Linked DNA regions of Lepisosteus oculatus. The protein of the gene in region 1 binds, or shares a complex with, the protein of each later gene. Links are inferred from orthologs where the notes say so. Each region holds a gene or a part of one and is shown on either strand. Other genes may lie near its edges.

What was found. The genes of interacting proteins can lie anywhere in the genome.
Region 2: eif3g (region 1) and eif3k share a complex: the UniProt entries of both Homo sapiens proteins name them as parts of the eukaryotic translation initiation factor 3 (eIF-3) complex. The link is inferred for Lepisosteus oculatus from reciprocal best matches to the Homo sapiens genes EIF3G and EIF3K.

The regions. Positions count from the first base shown.
Region 1 is NC_090706.1:15,345,203-15,352,221, reverse strand, and holds the start of eif3g (eukaryotic translation initiation factor 3 subunit G), read right to left. Parts: upstream 3,001-7,019; 5' UTR 2,951-3,000; coding exon 2,931-2,950; intron 2,843-2,930; coding exon 2,772-2,842; intron 2,166-2,771; coding exon 2,077-2,165; intron 1,493-2,076; coding exon 1,433-1,492; intron 678-1,432; coding exon 573-677; intron 107-572; coding exon 1-106. UniProt on the Homo sapiens protein: RNA-binding component of the eukaryotic translation initiation factor 3 (eIF-3) complex, which is required for several steps in the initiation of protein synthesis.
Region 2 is NC_090698.1:5,595,386-5,602,216, reverse strand, and holds the start of eif3k (eukaryotic translation initiation factor 3 subunit K), read right to left. Parts: upstream 3,014-6,831; 5' UTR 2,801-3,013; coding exon 2,739-2,800; intron 1,978-2,738; coding exon 1,879-1,977; intron 97-1,878; coding exon 1-96. UniProt on the Homo sapiens protein: Component of the eukaryotic translation initiation factor 3 (eIF-3) complex, which is required for several steps in the initiation of protein synthesis.

The DNA of each region.
Region 1 (7,019 bases):
GACAGCGGGTGGTCCAGTGATCGCCTTTGCAGATCCGGCAGGAGACGATTTTCTGGCACCTTATCCTGTTTAATGCATCATCCTGGTCATCCTGGCTATTCAGATCCTAATGGGGGAAAAAAAAGAGAAAACTATCAGATACCCTGTCTCTCACGTCTCTGCTTTCTTAACTCAAAGACCAGCTATTGGAAACACACTAGCAGGCCACGCCTCCTTGATTTTAAACTGATTATTACAATGCCATTGATACACTTTAAGAAGATAATCCCCACTGCAACTCTGAAGCAGTGCTTAACAGAGGGTCTAGAGTGCCGCTAAAAACCTAAACTGCTTTGGAAAACATGAATAAGCCAGAGATATTCCACACCCAAAGTCGCTAATACATGCAGCCAAAGTAACATGGGAATTTGATAACAGTGATAATCAAAGCAAATTGATCAATGATCGTTATTAGCCATCCACCGTGCATCGCTGTCCTGAGGCAAGCCTGAACCACACCGCTCGGTTTTTGCTTCGTGGTTTTTCGGCTTCTGCCACAGGCTGCCCGCTGCTCGACCGCGCCACCGGCTCACCTCCTTGCTGGAAATGAAGGTCATGAAGACGTCGTCGCTGACCGTGGTAGTGGCCACATTCGGTCCTGGCGCGTCGTACTCAGAATTTCCAAACTTCTTCCAGTTCTGGTAATCAACCGGAACAAAAAAAAAGTTATAAAGCAAACCTCGTGGAGATCTTACCAGCAAGATCTCCATCCCCTCTTCGGTACTCGTGAATAGATGAAACAAGAAACACCCAAGTTGATCTATTTCCATTCTCGACCCCAAGACCCCCACATCACCCTGGAGTCAGGATCCACCCAGGGATCAGATCTCCCTTGGAAGCCCTTGGAGTCGAATCTCGCTTCATCGAGACATCAAGACACCAACCAGACATCAAGAGACAGATCAAAATACCCAAACAAAGAGGTATCCACTGCTGCTGAATATTCCCTTCGCACAATCAACCCCTTCACTGCTTAATAAGAGAACTGATTTGAACTGTTTGACTCTTTTCAGATCTTAAACATGTCGCTTTTTGACTGCTGCGCTTTATAAATTAAACTAAACTTCTGAGCAGAAAAACAAAATGCCAATATTCCATCTCAAGCAGCTTGTTAGTCCAAATAAGGCTTCAATTATGTAATCAGGCCCAGCTGGAATGGGCCGGCCAGTGTCAGGTCCTACAGGATTAGGGATGGGAACTCCCTGCACTAGCATTAAATAAAAGAGGTCTCCCCTTCCCAGAAGAATGCTCACTTGAGAAACGGGGCCAAATGACACAAAAATAAACATTACTAAAGTGCACATTCACAGACCAAAGGGAGGACAGCCCAGCCGTGCCTGACAGAACGCAAACACACTAAACACACCCACACATCAGTCAGACAGCTCAGTACCTTTCTCCTGGCGACAGCCTTTGATGCTTTTCTGGTCTCGATTTTGAAGGTGCGAACAATCTGGAAGGACAAACAACACTTGGTTCTATTAGTAGTTCAGGTGGGTAGCTGCGTCAGCATGCGTAGGCTGCAAAGGAACAAGTAATAGATTATTCCATGCTGAAAAAAAGAAGAAAGAGAACACAACGTTTCAGCCATGGAGCCTTGACACCTGAAGAAGGCTCCATGGCCGAAACATTGTGTTCTCTTTCTTCTTTTTTTAAGCATGGAATAAGCCTATTACATGGTTCTGTGCCCATCTTGTGAAACATTTCAGGATCAACCCAGAAGCACAGGGGTGGGGGTATTTAATATGCTCCAATAGCAGCAGCCAAAGGTCAGGATGGAATCACACTGTGTTCTCACCTCTCTTTTGCTTCCCTAAGCAGTAGGACTGAAAACCTGACCGCAAAATCTGAAAATTAATACCCAAATGCAATCTGACCAAAAATAGCTACTCTTCCGTGATAAACCCATTTGAAACCCCTGAACGTCAGCTCTGAGAACTTTCTGAAGATTGTTAATCTCTTCCAGACACCACAGAGCACAGCCTATCTGGTAATTGCATACAACTGAGCAGAGTGTTCAACTCTTCAAAAACTCACCTTAACCTTCTTTCCATCCTCATCTATCTTATACTCCGTAAGAGTTTTTATATTCCCTTTTATTGTCTCTTTGGGCGATGGAAGTGTTCCTGAAAAAAAAAAACAACAGCAGCACTTCAATTAAAACATACAGTATTCCTTCGGGATACTATAGGACTATAGATCAGGACACATATACATTGTTACAGGTCAAGCTAATTAACTTAGGAAACTGATTGGCTTAGTTAATTATGACATGTCATCATTGACAGCTACAGAGCATTGACATTTGTATTTGAAATAGTTTCTACAGAGAGTTGTATCTCAAAAACATTGTAATATTTGAAGACCCGTATTCAGTCAGTCCTGATGAGATCGATAGCAGCGTTATATTAACACTTCTTCTAAAAAGCTCTCTTGTTTATAGTCTTAGAGTTCTAACGGTTACAAAGGTGCTGCCAGTATTTCGAAGTGCGTGTATTATATCACCTACGACGGTCCTTAATAATGTACAACGTAAAACTAAGCCATCGTCCTGTAACCAGCTGCAAATATCCTTTAACTGCTGTTCGTGAAAACGAAAATAAACACGTATTGTCATTACGGTGAGGTAAGCACTCTGCTGGCGAGCCTATTTTATGGCATTTCTAGTATTTTACATAATACACTGAATCATCACACGTGTGAAACGGGTGCTTCTCGGCCTGTGCTCAGACCTTTTCCGACTAGGTCCTCCTCACCTTCGTCGCCCTCTTCTTCAACTTGATCAGCCCAACTGGGCTTAGAACTGGGAAAAGAGAGAACGCTGATCAGAAACGTACTTAATACTTTAAGTTAAATGCCAGTAAAAGGTGATTTTATTCACACAGACTTACTCGTATTCTCCAGACGGCATCCCTTCGCTCTGTCTCAGCGCGTAGAAAGACCGACAATGGCAGAAAACAGGCAAGATCGGTTGATTTATTTTCGAGGCCTCGCTATTCCTGTAACAGCGACGCCTACTGCCTGGGAGGAGTTATAAACCCTTCCCAACCGCAGCCGGTACAACACTGAAGAAATCCCGATTGCATGTTGTGTACTGTGGTACTGTACTTTACGTCGATGTTTATAATAATGAATTAATACCTAGTGTCTCCTATGCTTTGATGTCAAATACTAGGTCCTCCGAGGTGTTTAGGTGTGAGTGAAGAAGAAGGACCATTCACTACCTTTGCTGTAACTGTGCCTCCTGCTATTCTAAGGCGTGTAATAAGTGTTAGATAATATGATAAATTGTATAGCATGGAAAAAACTTTTTCTTTTAAGGTGGCTGTTTTGCAAAGTAACAAAATAACTGCGGGCAGCAGCCCCTTTTCAAAAACTGGGGTCCAGTTTAATTGTCCCGTTCACGCGTTCCGGGTCGTCGCTCCGCCTCTCTGTTCTGCTCCGTGAAGGAGGCCGCGACCGGACACTTTGTGAGCCTGACCACTACCACGAAAGATGGAAGAAATGAAGCCTAAAGGACATAGGGGGTTTATTTGTAAAGAGGCATGACACACTGGCATGACACATTTCTCGCAACAGGCGTCGTGTCTCGCTTCCCCATGCTAAATAAATTTGTGCTGTCTTTTTTTGTGGTCTCCTTTAAACAACAACAACCTATTAATCCATAACCGATGCCCCATGATGTCTTATGAAGAGGGAAAGAGCTCATAACGCAGGCAGGTAGACGGTAGCTAGACAAACTGTACACCCTGCTTATGTTCTAGTTTCGCTATAAATTAGCCTCCGACTCCCATGTGTATATATATATATTACCAAAAAAAATACGATGCAAATCGGAGAGTGTTGTTGCGAAGTACATCTGTGGACATGCTGGTAAATATTTGCATCCTGTGTCTTATTAACAGTTTTTATGAGTGTTTTACTGTTGGGCCCAATTGCTACGTTAAATAATGAGTAACGGACAACATAACGTTATCAGATTGTTAAAAAGCGACAGGTGATGAGGTTATTTCACGCCGGGCCTTTTACAACTATAACTAACGGCCGACATACGGGTTATAGAGCCGGTTGCAGCGCAGTTATGACACCGCCCTCTGCTCCCCTGCGTATAACGAGAATGTTGGCCGCCCGGAGTGACGGAGGCCTTTTTTAGCTCAGCCGGCAATATCCCTGTTGGGCGGCACAGGAGCCCCTGAGGCGGGGGACGAACCGGGGCAGGAGCGGCAAGGAGAGCAGAGGGCGGTACCATCACCGCGCTGCAACCGGCTCGCAGTCCCTGGGAACTCCCCAAAAACCCATCGAGGCCCCTGAGCTTCACTCAAGGACACCCCACTTCGCCTTCACTAATTCGGGTGGTTAAAATCTGTGTCAGGGGTGTCAGACACGGTTCTGGGACAATCCAGCGTCTTTTCTTCCAGTCCGAAAAGCCAATTAACCTCTTTGTTTTCTTAGCTCTCTTAAGGACTTTGAAAGTTTTTTTTTGTTAGAAACATTTATCTCATTGGCGGTACAGTTATCTATATACCTAGTAAGACCTCAGGCCCAGATACGGACTAGAGTTCCCCAGTAAAGTATATAATTAGATCCATTATGTACCCCCCAGAACCCTGTGGCCCTGCAGGATTCCCCTGCTCCTAGAATCCTTCTAGTTGAGTATGTTTCCACGTTGTTCTTTCTTTCTTGGTTCAAACGATTCTTCCAACAGGCAGCTGTAGCATTTGCGGATATTCAAACGTATTGAAACACACTCTCCATCAATAACGCCAATCAGTGATTATTCATTCACAGCGCGTCTTTTTCAAAACAAAGAAAACAAACCCACTTAAAGAAGGAAAAACGGCGACATTTCCGTGTTTACAACCGTGACATGTAAAAACAGGTTATCTCATTTACAACAACCAGATTAATAATTCAGTTTTTAATGCCTGTTATTGTTTTTTTTAGGCGCAGTTATTATCAGTGTGTTGCAATTCGTTACGATGTGTAGGCAATGCAGGCTAGACTAATACATGCGTTTGTTAATAAAAGTGAAATGTATCAATAGTGAAGTTTAATATCTATTTTTATTAGCAGATGTACTACAACTAATGCCAGGAGGGTCTTTAGTATGCGATAGTGAATTTTTACATATCCTGGGGAGTGCAGCGAGTCTAAATTAAGAAAACATATTTAAATGGAGTGTAACGCTTAACGTGTTCTGTCATTATCTGGGTGTTATTTAGTAGATCTGTTGTATTTTATGTGTTTCCCAGGGAAAGCAGGGCTTTGGGGGGGGGGGGGGGGAGGTGTTGGGGTACAGAGAATAACTTGTTTAGGCAAATGTAAGGGTGCATTAAAGAAAATAAAACTCTCATCGTCCGTCATCTTTTAAAGGTGATTATTTAAGACACTTATTCGGAACAGCGTCCCTTCTCTTATCTGTGGTTGTGGTCCAGTAGAAACGGTGGTGAAACCGCCGGAATGTGCGGAAAGTCTTGGAGACGGAGCAGGGGGCTCGTCCAGTCGAGACCAAGATTGTGTAGGACCGCACACGCCCCAGCGACAGTGCTGGCTTTCAGTGGACTGGCACACTGGTCACAGGAGAGGCCAGCAAGACGCTGTGTTTAAAATTACAAAGGTTCACAAGGTCAGAGGAACGGCAGGAAAGTGCCTGAAAAGATCTGTTCCCGAAGTCTCCCAAGTTCACCTGTTAGAGCTGCGAATGTAAATTTACTTTTTACTTACAGGTGAAGTTCACTCCAGTGTACCAGCACCTTGCTGTATATTAACCGTGATTATATTTCAGAAATAAAATTGCTAAAGCTATTGGACATTAGCTGTTGCTTGTTGTAACGATGTGCTAACTCGGCTGTAAGGAATACGCACTACCTGCTTTTGTCAGTCAGCGCTCAACTTAAACAACTTAAAATTCTAATTCACCATCTCAAACGGTGAAGACCGTTAAACATACATTAAAAAAAACTCTTAGATGAAGTGCAACAAACTTAGCCCCTGAGTGACACCACACTTACATTCGTGTCCGCAATAGTATAAATATAACTTACACACGAAACCAAAACAGCGACGTGTTGACTTCCGTATGAATCATTTATCAATGAAAATAAAAGCGGTTATAGTACAGTACGGGCTCAAACTCCAGCCCGCTGCTGCTGTTCTCATTTTGTGATGAATTACAATTGAGTACCGCGTCAGTAATTACGTACCCTTATCTGGTATAAAAGCCGTTCTTAAATTTTAATAACATTTAATTTCCAGGGACATTCAGTTATATTTACTAACACGAGAAAAAAAAAGTAATAATCGTGGCCTACATATTAACTTGCTGATCAGATTAGTATAAATGTTCTGATTCGGAGTCCCCTGCAGTCGTGCTAATTAGAACAACACCAACGCTGAGCAGAAGTTCAGCTGCTCTCCCGCTGGGCTCAGAGCTGGAGATGATCTCCAGATAGCACCGCATTAACTAGTCCGCCGAGTGCTAAATCCGAAGGTTCGTTGTAATTGACCTCTTAAGACTGATTTAGATGAACTAATTGCACTAGGGATAGTTAGGATCTGTGAAATTAGGCATGCTTTTTAATACTTGAGTATAAGTATACTTTTAATATTTGAGTGGAGTGTCCAGAAAAGCGCTATACAAGTGTAAGCAATTATTAATTATTATTAATACCGTTGGACCATCGTTTTGAATGTTGGTTTCTCCTTTACCCATATAAAACTTGCGGTTAAAACAGAAGTGCACGTGAAGGTATATCTGATCGAGTCTGTTTGACAAGTCCGTCTCTGTATCCACCTCATATCTGACAGAGTGAAAATCCGCAAAGCCATCATTTAATTTGTCACTCGATGGCGCACGATTTAACGAAAATAGCCGGGTAGACCACAGTTTCAACATTTTAGCAAAAAGGGTCTCTTTATGTCCTTCTCGCAAGACTGCAACACATTTTGCATATTAAAAAAAAATCCCCCAGCCTTTCGAC
Region 2 (6,831 bases), on another chromosome or scaffold:
CACAGCGTGAAATCAGTGTGGGGCAGGTTTGTCAGGGCTTTAAGCAGAATCTGAGCCGTCACTGTGGTCTGGAAGTAGGCTGGGTTAAACTGGTACCTGCAGAAACATTACAGGAAAGACAGAGCTTCAGTTGATGAGAAGTGGTACAGACAAGAGTGAACCATGACTCAGAGAGACAGCGCAGAGCCACAATGGTCACTCTGAGACACTGCAGCGCGTCGGAGGTGAACGGAGTCACTCTGAGGCACTGCAGCGTGTCGGAGGTGAACGGGGTCACTCTGAGACACTGCAGCGCGTCGGAGGTGAACGGAGTCACTCTGAGGCACTGCAGCGCGTCGGAGGTGAACGGGCTCACTCCGAGACACTGCAGCGTGTCGGGGGTGAACGGGGTCACTCCGAGACACTGCAGCGTGTCGGAGGTGAACGGGGTCACTCCGAGACACTGCAGCGTGTCGGGGGTGAACGGGGTCACTCCGAGACACTGCAGCGTGTCGGGGGTGAACGGGGTCACTCTGAGACACTGCAGCGCGTCAGGGGGTGAGCGGGGTCACTCTGAGACACTGCAGCGCGTCGGAGGTGAACGGGGTCACTCTGAGACACTGCAGCGCGTCAGGGGGTGAGCGGGGTCACTCCGAGACACTGCAGCGCGTCGGAGGTGAGCGGGGTCACTCCGAGACACTGCAGCGCGTCGGGGGTGAACGGGGTCACTCCGAGACACTGCAGCGTGTCGGGGGTGAACGGGGTCACTCCGAGACACTGCAGCGCGTCGGAGGTGAACGGGGTCACTCCGAGACACGGCAGCGTGTCGGGGGTGAACGGGGTCACTCTGAGACACTGCAGCGTGTCGGAGGTGAACGGGGTCACTCTGAGACACTGCAGCGTGTCGGAGGTGAACGGGGTCACTCTGAGACACTGCAGCGTGTCGGAGGTGAACGGGGTCACTCTGAGACACTGCAGCGTGTCGGGGGTGAACGGGGTCACTCCGAGACACTGCAGCGTGTCGGGGGTGAACGGGGTCACTCCGAGACACTGCAGCGTGTCGGAGGTGAACGGGGTCACTCCGAGACACTGCAGCGTGTCGGAGGTGAACGGGGTCACTCCGAGACACTGCAGCGCGTCAGGGGGTGAGCGGGGTCACTCCGAGACACTGCAGCGCGTCGGAGGTGAACGGGGTCACTCCGAGACACTGCAGCGCGTCGGGGGTGAACGGGGTCACTCCGAGACACTGCAGCGCGTCGGAGGTGAACGGGGTCACTCCGAGACACTGCAGCGCGTCGGAGGTGAACGGGGTCACTCCGAGACACGGCAGCGCGTCGGGGGTGAACGGGGTCACTCTGAGACACTGCAGCGTGTCGGGGGTGAACGGGGTCACTCTGAGACACTGCAGCGTGTCGGGGGTGAACGGGGTCACTCTGAGACACTGCAGCGTGTCGGGGGTGAACGGGGTCACTCTGAGACACTGCAGCGTGTCGGGGGTGAACGGGGTCACTCTGAGACACTGCAGCGTGTCGGGGGTGAACGGGGTCACTCTGAGACACTGCAGCGTGTCGGGGGTGAACGGGGTCACTCTGAGACACTGCAGCGTGTCGGAGGTGAACGGGGTCACTCTGAGACACTGCAGCGTGTCGGAGGTGAACGGGGTCACTCTGAGACACGGCAGCGTGTCGGGGGTGAACGGGGTCACTCTGAGACACGGCAGCGTGTCGGGGGTGAACGGGGTCACTCTGAGACACTGCAGCGTGTCGGGGGTGAACGGGCTCACTCTGAGACACTGCAGCGTGTCAGGGGGTGAACGCAAACAATGAGGTAATGCAGTGTGTGAGTGTCAAACAACAAGAAAGTGCAGTTTAATTGTTATAGAGTAGCAGCACAACTCACAATTTTAGTACAGCCAGGTTGGCTTCCAGGTCGTAGGCATTCTCCCGGGCCTGTGTCTCCACATAGCGCTCCAGTGTGGACAGATTCTCTGGGTTATACCTGTGCAGAACAGACTCAGTTAGAGGAAGCACTAGCTGGCCGTCACCAGCACTGTGCCCAGGAAGAACTGGCCAGCTTTTGTTTTTTGTCCCCCAAGATGTAATGAAATTGCAGATGCAACTTAAGTTTCATTGTACAATGTTATGGCTGCAGGAATAAAAGAGCTCCCGTGTCTGTTGGTGTTTATTTTGTGCTGCAAAAGACGGCTGCTGCCCCTTCTGATATATCGTTACAAACTGCTATAAAGGGGGTGCTTGTCTGTGGCCCTTTCACCCCCTGCAATCAGCTGAGTTTGCGAAAATGCAGCTCCAACGACCACAGCCGGACGTACTGACCCAGCACAGCGTCTCTCCCCCCTCCTGCCGCTCCACCCATCACCCCGGCGACGATACAAGTCGCTGAGCACACAGGCCACTGATCTAAATGATTTCGCTAACAGAATAAGTTCTTCCCGTGACTAAGGAATAAGAGAAGCCGACCTGTGAAAAAGTACGTCTCTCGCCTTTCGTTAAAATAAAAACCAGAGTTCTGTTTGGCGCAAAACAAGCCCCGAGTTTAAAAGATAATTTAAAAGAGTTTAAAAGATAATCATAGGTTACTAGTTTATTAAATGTTGGCAGTTTTCCTCATCGACCCATTAAATAACAAAGCACGGTGTAATCCAACAGTGTGTTAGGAAGTGATGAGACCAGTCAGTTTGAAAGAAACCCAATTTACCAACACATCTAATACAGAATAATGGAAGACTCTGCTACACCAACCTGTCGATGCCGCGTAGGAGTTTTCCTACGTTGGCTCGCATTTGTTCGAACGTCGAGGCCATATCTCGCTTCCTGGTGATGGGCTGTGCTGGTACCAAAGCTCCCAGATAGGTTCGGTCCGAACCTAGATACACACCACACGTGGGACCGCCGAGCAGAAAAAAGGAAGAGATCGGACCGAGAAACCCGTGACACCGGAACTGTCCCTGGTCACGTGAGAAGGGCGACCTCTCCCCTCGCGCCTACGAGGGCTCGCGATCTTGATTGATCACAGACCGTCAGCCAAGCGAGTCTGTTCTCTTATTCAATGTGTTCTGCGAGACAGAAGTTGGTCTCCGACCCCCCCGTCAAAAATATTCTGATCCGAGTTTACAACCCAGCAAAAGCGAATAAACACTGAACATTTATTGCGTGGCATTAACACGTCATATACCCAGTGAGAAGTGGAAGCTTGCTCACGTTCGCTGATCGTGTAAGCTATCAAAACTTAGGTTCCACTGGCTTGATACTTCGCGGTTTGGGATGTGTTAGAATTAGCCAATCATCTCCTGGGTGACAGTATGGACTAACGACCGCCAGGTCTGCTCGTCGGCTTCCAGTGAGCTCGTCGCCCCTACCACGTGGTACGAGCTGGTGCAACGGTAAATAGTTCCTGCTCACTTCCAAAGGCCAAATCTATTTAGTTCCCACTCTATGAAAACAATACGGTTTTTTTCTGACATGGTTTTGTATTAAAACAATTAATTGGCTTGTAGGCGAGCTCATAATACAAATAACTGTACTGCGTTTTATTGAGCAGATCTATAGGAGGATGAACGATACTGGCCGCATCGTCCCGGGGAGTTTCGGCTGCGAGCCCTAGCTATTCGAGAGTAAACCGGAACCCGTGGGTTTGCGAAAAACACGGGGGTGCAGGCGGGGAGCTGACTGAACACGACTTCAGCAGAGATACGTGCACTTTAATTTCAATCGCGTCCAGTTCTGCATTATGTTCACGATAGGATAACATATCACATTGGTCAGAAGGTGCTTTCAAAATAAACGCGCTACCTGTTGTTAGCCGCATTTCATATTTATTAGAGGCATCGTTGTTTACTGTGTGATGTGTCATAAAACCATGTCTGTGAAGATAAACCAATTTAATTTAAACACTCCTCAGATTATCTAACGCATTATCTAGTGAGATGGTTTTTTTTTTTCTGAGACCTTAAGACTATTTGGTTGTTGAAGATCCCCTAACACTATAAGGGGAGGGTTCTAAAACCTGGTGTCCTGAAATTTACCCCTCTGAGCCTCAACAATCTGGCCTCCCTTATTTCATCGTTTGAACCGGCTTCTCACTTGGTCCGTCTCCATCTGATGTGCTGTGAGGACTCACAGGAGCAGAATTGATGCCCTGTATTAGGGAGGCGAGTGACTCTCTTCTTGCCTGTAAGAGATGAAAACATACTATACAAATGCAAGGAATTACTGTACAACTATACACATTTGTATAGTTTCAAACATTTTCCACTGCAGTGTAACATCTAATGCAGTTTTTTTTTTACTTAAACCAAACTCCTTGGTTTCCATAACTGTCATAAAGAGGAAATGGAATACCCATATCTCCGTTCCTTCTTAAGCTAGTGTTTCATACTGAAATATTTTTTAATTATCTTTTGGGAATGAGGCAGAAAAGGCCTGGGAGTAACATGAGTGATATCAGAATTCTGTGCCGTTCTGTTTCGTCGTAACATTTACAAGCACGTTGCAGATAGTAATCATTAAGCTAGTATATTTTTACCAATTATACAACTAGATACACAAATACTGTGATTCTCATGCTGCTTAACACTGTGCCTCATCTGCATTTGTTACTGCAGCAATTGCATTTCTTAATGAGCTATTTTGATGTGAGTACTCAGAAGCGCGACTGATTGCAGTATGCACAGGATATGCACCCGTGTTAGATTCTGAGAGGGTTCCATTTGCGGGTCTTTACTAATATGCAGTGGTGGTTTAGTTGAAAAGGTTTGCTCCTGGAGATATTGTAGTCCTGCTGAACTTGCCGTGTAGTCCTTTCTGTGCATCTGTGCAGATTACCACAAGTTTGCAGGTTTGCAGGTGCCTTGGTCAGTTACAGGCATCCAGAATTAAAAAATAAAGGGTGAATGAGGTGTCTGCCCACAGAAGCTGACTATTAAAAAAGCAGGACACACTCCATCCCAAATTATTATTAACTATTAAGCTTTGCCAAACTTTGAGGTAGAAAAATACTTTCTTTAGGATATGCAAGACTGCCATAACAGAATTCTTGTGTCACCTAACAGTAATGAATTAGAAACATACCCCATGAGGAACAGATATTCCAATGAATGAAGTCTACAGGAGTCACCATGTTGCAAACCAAAGTGAGGACAGCCTGGTCCTCACTTGAGCCCATGTGACCCAGCCAGTTCCCAGCCAACTGTGAGAAGCCACGGGGGCTAATCCGTTCACTGTACACTATTGTCCTCTTGTGTCAGGACTGTGTAAAGAGCTTTGAAAAGGGGTGCTCACTGTGACAAACAACCTCTATTGTAAGCCAAAGAGATTCACTTGTTCCATAGGTCAGAAATGTCCACTAAGACAAAACATTATGCTTGTGGGTGTGGCACATTCTTGTGACCAACTCAATATATGCTGCACTTTCTAGTTTTGCTATTAATGTGAAGTTTCAGATTTCCCACGCCAACCTGGGAAAAGAAGAATTCCAGGCAGGCAGAGAACAGTAAGCGAAGAGTCTGTCCCCACCTGGAAAGAAAATTGGATTGGAAACAAGCACAGTTGCCTTTCAGGTTAAGCAGATCCTACTTGATGCAGCATAGCATAGACTATTATAGAACAATGATCACATGTTCAGAAGCTCATTGGTAACCAGTGTAGTGGCATTAGCACAGGAGTGATAAGGAAAGAGAAGCTTACATTAATCAGTAATCTGGCAACTGTTCTCTGAAAAAGTAAAGCCTTGTATTATTAATGTAAGACATGGCAGCAATTTTAGAACTGCTTTAAATAGGCGAGAAATTCAAAATGCATCTATTGCATGTTGCACATACTTCCTGTACAGCGTACACTAGCATTGACTGAATTTAGCATGGCAACGCTGTTTTGGCAGTTGTCTGGTTGAAGAAGACTTCCTACCAGAAAAACAGGATGACCTTTAGAGCTGTCGACTGTATTGCAAAACCGTTCTCCTGTTTTCCTCAATAAAATAACCACATGCAAATATTATCAAATAAAACTGGAGTCCCCCCAAATATATTAAAATGAGTTCAGAGATTATGTGCTAGTTAGTTCTAGTTTTATTCTGTTATATTCTTTTTGGTTTACAGCAGGAAATATCTCTTATTCTCAATAACTGTATTTAATTAACTTTTAATGTTCTCAATTTTTGGAGCTCAACCCAATTTTTAGAGCACAACTCCGATGACAAAGAGCAGCGGACACAGTAAACGCTGTAAAGTAAGGGCAATGTCTTCAGTGTGTAAGGGGCTATTGGAGTAATCTATTATGTTCTATCGTACAGCACTGAAAACTGTGGATGGTCTGTGTGGGAGGGCATCAGAGTCTAGGTTAGCCGTTATTTTACAGAGACTGTGGGCTTGTCTCTGATTGACTAAACAGACACAAAAAAAAACAACAGACCCTCCCTCATAAGACAGGTTTTATAACCAACAAAAGCAAAAAAAAAAAGGTTATTAGTCGTTAACAGCTGCACATCGCACCAAACGTCCCTGCCTCTTCTTCACCCGTTTCTAAATATAACTGGTTTTCTTTGACATGCCCCCACTGCTGCGAATCTTCCCACCCCCCCTCCCCGGCTGCACTGTGTGTGTTCTGCACAACTGCACATACAGCAAACAAGTGCAGGCGACTCAACAGAGCACAATTCGCCCTCTCCTCCTCCCAGGGCTCAAGGCAGGCTCAGCTCTGGGAAAAGAGCTGCCTTTTGTCTGATGACAGAAAAGAAGAGCAAAAAAAATCCGTCAAAATCAGTCAGCATCAAGTGGCTTTCATCTGCATGGGGAGACGTTGGCGGCAACATAGGGCAGAGTGCTGCAGGCTGGTTAGC